Linked DNA regions of Cricetulus griseus. The protein of the gene in region 2 purifies or fractionates together with the protein of the main gene of each other region. This does not show direct contact. Links are inferred from orthologs where the notes say so. Each region holds a gene or a part of one and is shown on either strand. Other genes may lie near its edges.

The links. Proteins that work in one complex are often made in the same cells at the same time.
Region 1: the proteins of Map4k4 (region 2) and Rap2c purify together in Homo sapiens (affinity purification with mass spectrometry; 3 studies listed by BioGRID and IntAct, counting the BioPlex papers as one, with this or other methods). This does not show direct contact. The link is inferred for Cricetulus griseus from reciprocal best matches to the Homo sapiens genes MAP4K4 and RAP2C.

The regions. Positions count from the first base shown.
Region 1 is NC_048604.1:18,930,374-18,934,463, reverse strand, and holds the start of Rap2c (ras-related protein Rap-2c), read right to left. Parts: upstream 2,826-4,090; 5' UTR 2,673-2,825; coding exon 2,400-2,672; intron 146-2,399; coding exon 1-145. UniProt on the Homo sapiens protein: Small GTP-binding protein which cycles between a GDP-bound inactive and a GTP-bound active form. May play a role in cytoskeletal rearrangements and regulate cell spreading through activation of the effector TNIK.
Region 2 is NW_023276807.1:8,206,915-8,210,474, forward strand, and holds part of Map4k4 (mitogen-activated protein kinase kinase kinase kinase 4), read right to left. Parts: intron 2,445-3,560; coding exon 2,358-2,444; intron 1,803-2,357; coding exon 1,584-1,802; intron 850-1,583; coding exon 688-849; intron 1-687.

The DNA.
Region 1 (4,090 bases), on a different chromosome or scaffold from region 2:
AGCCCCATTCTTGAGCCAGAGCTCTGCCTTCTGAAGACATAACCTCTCTTTCTGGTTCCAGATCCACTTTGTTTCCTACTAGGATTAGTGGAACTTTTTCATATCTCTTCACTCTCACAATCTGATCTCTCATTGGCTTGATATCCTATTCAAGCAATCACAAAGGGAAAGAACACAATTATATGTTTGCATTCCACAGCAGACGTGTTACAATATCACAAAAATCATTCCTCGGTGATTATATAAAGCTAAAACCACATACTTAAATAACGACAACAATGTCATGTACCCCCCCTACGGAAGTGAGAACTAGATCATCTCCACAGGCACCAGCTGTGCTTTGGCATCAGGGATATAAGATTCAAGTTGCGCACTCACCTTAAAATTCATCTAACCACTGCCCCCCACCCTCCGTCTAGTTCAATTAAAGAATCAAGTCCCCAAATATGATTCATCCATTTGTACATACAGATGTTTGGCCAGCTCCCTAAAGCTGCCTACTTGTCATCGCTCCTGTAACACCTGTTATCCCAGCACAAGACTGCAGCATGTAAGTAACTCCTAGTCATTTAGCAAGAGGACTTAAGAGAAAGTGTTTTAAGAGGGAACAACCCCCCCCCAAAAGCAACAACCCCCCCCAAAAAAAACCCATTTTAATAATTACAAATCCATTTTTGGAAACAGATATACACATAAATATTTCATTTTAAACTGGTTACTATGTCTTTAGCCTTGTAATGTCAACAACTGTGGCCAATGCATCTGGAGTCTGGATGAGAAGCTACATTTCTTTCTTCTCCCATTGCTTCCCTACTGATTTTTCTCATAGTGGTAAGAATCCTAGCTGGTTTTCAGTGATAGCAATTTTTGGAGAGAACTGAATTGATATAAGACAATATTATAGGTTTAGGCCCAGCATCGCATTTTTTTTTGAGTTTTGTAAAAGAGTTGACTTAAATATGAAATCTGCATTTGGGTAATTACAGTAAACAGAACACTCACACCCAGGTCAAATGTACCAATTCAGTCTTCTCTGAATTGTTAAGCTGCTTTTCTGGGCTTCCTTATGGAACAAGTTTAGCTAAGAATACCAACTTTCGCCTCAAAAGAATCTGACTCTGCTGCAATAATGCCATAGTTCCATATTCCCTATTTATGTCTATAACAGAAGTGGATTCAGTGGACACCTTAGGAAACACACTGCAAAGACTTCCAGCCTCAGGAGAATCTGCTGATAACAAACAAATCTCCTGAGGATCCCCTAGATAGAAAATACCCTTAGTACTTCCTGGGGGAAATGCTTTTATGGTACTTTTGTTTGGAATTTCTATCTAGCTAAAACATCCTTGAATTCATTTACCCAGAACTTACTATCCTTACAAAGAAGTTCTTGAAGTTGTTACAAGGTTACTGGAAAAATTCCGATATAGCACTTTACCCTCAACTCCTGAAGAATGTGAAACTAGCACATTACACGGGCTAAGGCACTTAAGATTCCCTAAGTAAGCAACATTGAGTGCATACCTTTAAATGCAGAAAAAAAATAGCTGTTTCCTAAATCAATGGTAGTCAATATTAACGGGTCAATATAAGGTCATCTATTTTCAAAGAATAAATAGCACAATTACTGCATCTCTTAAAATAACGTTAACTTCAGTCTGTTTCCCAGTAAAAGACAGGACGGATTTTCTGAAGCAACTGGACCAGATCCAGGTTGGCTACCCCACTGGGATAAGAAATCTGCCCGTGCTCAGCGTTCCCAGTTCCACATATTTTCTTTAAGTATAGGCTACGATGGCAGAAACGATTTGGATCAACGAGAGAAAAGGAGGGTCATTCTTACTTTCTGTTGATTATGAATCCTAGGTCCTAGTCTTTTAGACTAGTAACTTCCTTTGCGGTGCATTCCCCCAAGTAAAATACCACGAAAACAGAACTTGTACTCATTTTGCAGCAGAGATTTAGGATTCCAGTTGAGGAACTTAGAGGCAAACAGAAGTGGAGGAAGGAAAACCAGGCACACAGGTTTTTATCTATGTGTAAGAGATAATGGGCTTAACAATTTCTTTCTTCGTGCTCCATTTGCTTGAGATTATCTATGAAATGTTTTGTTGAGCACGTTAATCGATACTTGTTGAATTGAATAAGCAACTTCAGGTTATAGCGACGGCTAAATATACGCAAGCTGACCCATTTCGTTTTCACTTTTCTTTCCCTTAAAAATAACTTTAAAATATTTGTCCTTTAGCACTCTCTCCAGAAATAACCCAGTGCTTCCCGTGCCATGCCAAACTTTAGAACGCCAAACACACTTATTAACACACAGCTCAAGCAAATCAGAAGTACATGTACAATTACCACACCCCCTTCGAAGAAATTCCAAGACTCGGTTTGATTACCTGAAAAGACTGTTGATTCACCAAACTATACACCAGGATGAACCCTTGGCCGTTTTTGATGTACAGATCTCTCATGGAGGCAAACTGCTCGGTTCCTGCGGTGTCCAGAATTTCCAGTACTGAGGGAGAAGAGTCCACTTCGATCTCTTTGCGGTAGAAATCTTCAATGGTGGGGTCATATTTCTCAATGAAAGTCCCAGTGACAAACTGCACCGTGAGGGCAGATTTGCCAACCCCTCCACTCCCTAACACCACTACCTTGTATTCCCTCATGAGTCTCACCTTCACCAACTCCTGCCCAAGGGGGGGAAAATAACACCCCGCTAGCTGCGCTGCCGCAAGACGAGGCGGAAGGTGGGCGGAAATGTGCGAACTGGGGAGGAGAGTGCAGAGAAGCCGAGGGCCCAACCCCGGCCGAGGAGGAAGTTCCAGGAGGGGGAGGGGAGAGAGGCCGGTGGCGGCTGGGTGGGGATGGGAGGGGAATGCCCTTCCTATAGGAACCTAAGGCCGGCCCCGGGGGGCGTGGGGAGGAGGGAGCGCCGGCGAGCGGCCGAGCCAGCGAGCGAGGGAGCGAGCGAGGGAGCGAGAGCGAGCGAGCGAGGGTGGGGAGCCGCCGCGCACCCCCACGCGGGAAGGGGCGGGGGCCTCGCGGCCGGGGGCTGCCCGCCACCCCTCCCCCCCCCGCCCTGCACACAAAGGGGCCCGGGGGACCCCGCTTCCTGCTGGCGCCGCTGCCGAGCCGCCGGCCCGAAGCCTCGGGGGGGGGGGGGGAGGACCCCCGCTGTGCTCACCGCCGCCGGGGCGGGCTCTCTGGGCGCCCCCGTTCCCGCGGGGGTCGTCGGGCCTGTAACGGGGGACGGGGAGGGAGGGCAGGAGGGAAGAGGGGCGCTCGTTAGGAGTCGTCTGACCTCCCCCAAAGCCACCGCCTCCACTGCCTCCTTCCCTTGAGCCGCCACCGTCGCCGCCGCCGCCGCTTACCCTGCCGTCCGCACTCCCCCAGCCGCCCGGGAGGCTCTGTCAAGCCAAGGCCATGGCCACCCGGTCGCCCGGCCTTGATGCTAGACGACGGGAAAGGGGCGGGGGCCGTCCAGCGGCGGCGGCGGCGGCGGCGGCGGCAGGGACTCCAACCGAACCCACCTCTTTTTTTTTTTCTTCACCCACCCCCCAGCCCACCCCCCCCAGCATAAACCCGGAAGGGTTTCCCTGACACACTGGCTGAGGTGCCCCAATTCCCCGAGACTGGACGCGTTCACTTCCGGTGGGGAAAGTCCCACCTCTTCTTCGGGGCGAGCCGGGTGGCGCTAGGGCCGCGCCCTGCTGAGCGAGCCAGGCTGCCTGGCAGGGTTACAGGGCGGGCAATGGCCTTGAGAAAGGGCGCTTCACTGAAACCAAAGGCTCCCTTGCTTTGGCGCTAGGAGCGATTGGCTGATTTTTCTCGCCCACTGGACCGCCCGAGTCCCCTCGGCTGCTAGGCGTTCATCGGCTGTTTCTGAGGACCAGATTCCCTCCTTGGCCAATAATCTGGCAGCCCAGAAAACACCAAACATCCCTGGGCTGGAAGTTGCTAGAAAAACCAAACAGTTTAGGAAGTTGATTCCCGTGGCTGCTAATTCTTTAACTTGCTATTTTTTTTTTCCTGAGCAATGCATGCTAGCGACCCTCAGAGTTGATTTGGACTCTGGCATTTTTAC
Region 2 (3,560 bases):
GGACAGAGCAGTGTGGAGGAAGTACCTAAACACCATCTTCAGGGAGACAGCAAGAACCAGGGTTTGAGGCTGACATTCAGCCTGTGACATCTCAGCCATCTACTTTCCTGTATAGACAACAGGGCAGTTTCTCTTTGACCACTCAGACAAGGTAGAATATGGTACAGACCAAAGGAAAGGAAATAAATAACCTTTTTCCTGACTTCCTCCAGGAAATCGGTATTTAATCTACTGGTCATAACCTGTTGTGAATCTTGAAGAGTTTGTGAATCTGGGGGGGGGGGGGAGAGACTTTTCCAGAAAAATCTACATTTTAGGTCAAATAAATAGAATTCAGCATGGAATTACAGGACATCTTCAGCCTCCAAGGGTCCTCCAGGGAGCTGGGGACCACAAGGGTAAAGTACTTCCTTTAAAATGTCAGGAAGAAGAGCTTCTGCTTCTCTTCAAACATGCTTACACAATAAAACCAACTTTCTAAAACCCTAGTGAAAAGGCATTTGTTAAAGAGGAAAGAGGGGCTTCACATCTAAGTTAATACCCTCTTTTCCCTACAGCTGAATGCATATCCTCCATTAGCTATCCAACTACAGCCATTCTCTTCTCTTTCCTACATGACACGAACAATGTGTGGCCCAGTGAGCCACTGCACGTCCTCAGCATAGCAAAGGCAGCTGCTGCTGCTACCTGTGGCTCCGCTGGTCTCTGCAGGGCAGGGTGCACAGACTCGGAGTTGCCATTGGAAAAAGACTCTGATCGGGAAGGCACCGGTGGCTCCAATCCTCTGCCTGTTTGCTTAGACTGGGCCTCAGGGGAGCTGTGGTTAGTCTTTCTAAATCTATCTTCCACCTGCATCAGAGAATTAGAAGACATAGATAGCTCCATGTTAGTAGGGAAAGGAGAGATGAAGAAGAAAGTCTAAAAGCAGGACAATCAAGATAAAGGCTGTTTTCTTCAGCTACATGAAAAGAGAGAGTCAGCTGGGGGTTGGCATAAAGCAGGGCTAAGATTTGATAGAGGATTTTTAAAAGTCATGAAAATGAAAATTAAGCAAAGCAGCCTCTAAGACCGCCTCAGGGTCCAGTTTCATTACTCTAACACTATGAACAGAACTTGTTTCCTTACTCTCCTCCCTGTGAAAGTGGATGTAGAAGAAGGGTGCCATCTACAGGCCAGAACTGCTCCGTACTCAGGAAGCAACAAAGCCCTTTTGTATAGCCCAGAGAGGAACACTTGGCTGCAGCCTAGAGTTTGAGGCTCTGTGACCAAATGCACCACCACGTGATCCAAAGAAATCAGGCTAAAAGTCCACTTCATCCTCACAGTAGTCTTACACCAGACCAACATTTCTCTTATTCATTCCCATTCTAAAGATGATGGGGCCAAGAATTCCTTTTGTGTAGTTTTGCTTCTGATTCCTCTAATATTTGTTAACAGAGAAATGGAAATGTCTTCCACATGGAAGACAAAGGCGGGTTTTACTGGTCCATTCTGGCATTCACAGCACGGCTCTCATCAGTCACGAGGGAACATCTCGGAGCTTTTTCAGGACCAACATTAAAGCAACAAGTGAAAGAAGATACCTCCCGAGCTCTGTCAGCAGGGTCGAAGTGAGGCTTGGGCTCTGGAGCATGATAGCTTGGCTTGCTCCTGTCCTGCTGCGGCTGCTGCGGTGGCTGCTGCTGCGGGTGCGGCCTCCTGTGGTCGTGCTGTAGAGACAGGAGATATGCTTGTTCTTGTTGCAACTGCCTCTGGAGCCTCTCTGCCTGCCGGTGCTCCTCCATCTCCCGCCATCGGCACTCCTTGGAGAGGGAGAGGGTACACTGAATCTGGGGACCTTGGCGAGCTCACCTCTTCTCCGGGTCCCTTCTTGGTTTTTGTTTAAATTGCACTTTCCCCTCTTGTATAAGAGCAAGGCAAATGTTTGGGATTTTAAATAGCATGTTACCTGTGTAAAATTTGACAGCATTTTCTAACTGAAACATCATTGCAGAGTAAAAGAATTCAATTAAGCATCTGATTCAGAGGTATATATACACACATACTCAGCAAAAATCCTATAGCATGCATGGTGAGCCTGATACCTTCAGCGTTTTCATATTCACTGAATGCCAAGTTCTGTTTAAAACTTGATAGGCATCTACCAAACAAGAGTAGTTAACTTACTAATGGGAAACAAAGGTCAGTTTACACTGTGCTTGACAGCATGACCACAGAGGACATCTTCTCTAGAACCTGGTTTCCAGAGCAAAACCAAAAAGGTCTGATAGTCACCACAGCTGGCCGACTGGGAGGAGGGGGGAAACAGACCCTGTGGCTAGGGAATGGGACAGAGGCGGGGCGGGGCGGGGCGTTACCAGTAACATGGCCTGCTCCTGGAGCAGCTGCTGCTGCAGGATCTCCAGGTGCCGCTGCTCCTCTTCTAGCTGCCGCCTGATGTACTCCTGTCACACAGAAATTACCCAGCAGTCAATACATCCAGAAGGAAAGCATCAGTCACCTGTGTGGGTAACCAAGAACTACTCCAATAAGCTTTACAGTAAACTCACCAAAGAGTGAACACCTCATCTAAAAGCAATCTCTTACTGAGAACTTTTGCAAAGGCTTCAAGCTGGCCAATGAAGTGCAGGAAGTCTAAGACATCCCCGCCACACACATGGCAGTGTCTGAGCACTGCTGTACGTGATACTATTAGCACATCCAACATAGACCTTTAAAGGGGGATGTCTTCCTTTTACCATGGCAGACTTCACAGAAACAGGAGCTTAATTAGGATCAAGGGATTCTATTAGTTAATATCTGCTTAAAAGGCATCATTTTAAACAATCACTAAAACCCCAATCTGTCTAAGATCTAAAAACAAAACAAGACAAAAATCAAAAAACCAAACAAAATTTGTGTTCTTGCTGATGATTCCAAAGGCACCCGGAATGACTGTAGTCTGAAGGATATGATCAGGATCATAGACCATGGGCACTTCTCTACAAGAAAATCGGCCCAGGCCCTTGGTGCTGAGCTTGTGTGTCTGTGTACTGTGCACAGGCACATGCGCATGGGCAGACTGATGATGGCATGACAGTGGGAGAAAATGGCCAATCTGTACACAATGGGAGGCAGTAATTACATATAAAGCAGTATACACAGAGGTGATGACGCTAACTTGACATCCCTAAAGTCCTTAGTGCAAACTCCAGTTTTGAGGAAGGGATAAGAGGTGGGAACATACTGAAACTTGAAGTTGTACACATCCTATTTGGACAAAAAGATCAGGAGATCCTTACCCCAGTTCCATCAAAGACAAGCTGTGTGACCCACTACATACCTTCAACCTTCCAGTATACTTTTGTTTTCATTTGAGAAATGGAACATGAGGTAGATATGAAATAACACTCTAGAGCAAAAGCATTTTTCAAGAAGCCTTTTCATCAGAAAAACAAACACTGCCACCCCCACACATGAAACAAAACTACCCACCTGTCTTAGAAGGGGAGCAAAGGAAGGGCACAGGGGAAAACTGCTCCATGGAATTAGGGTCTGTTTCTATAGGTGCTTCCTATTGA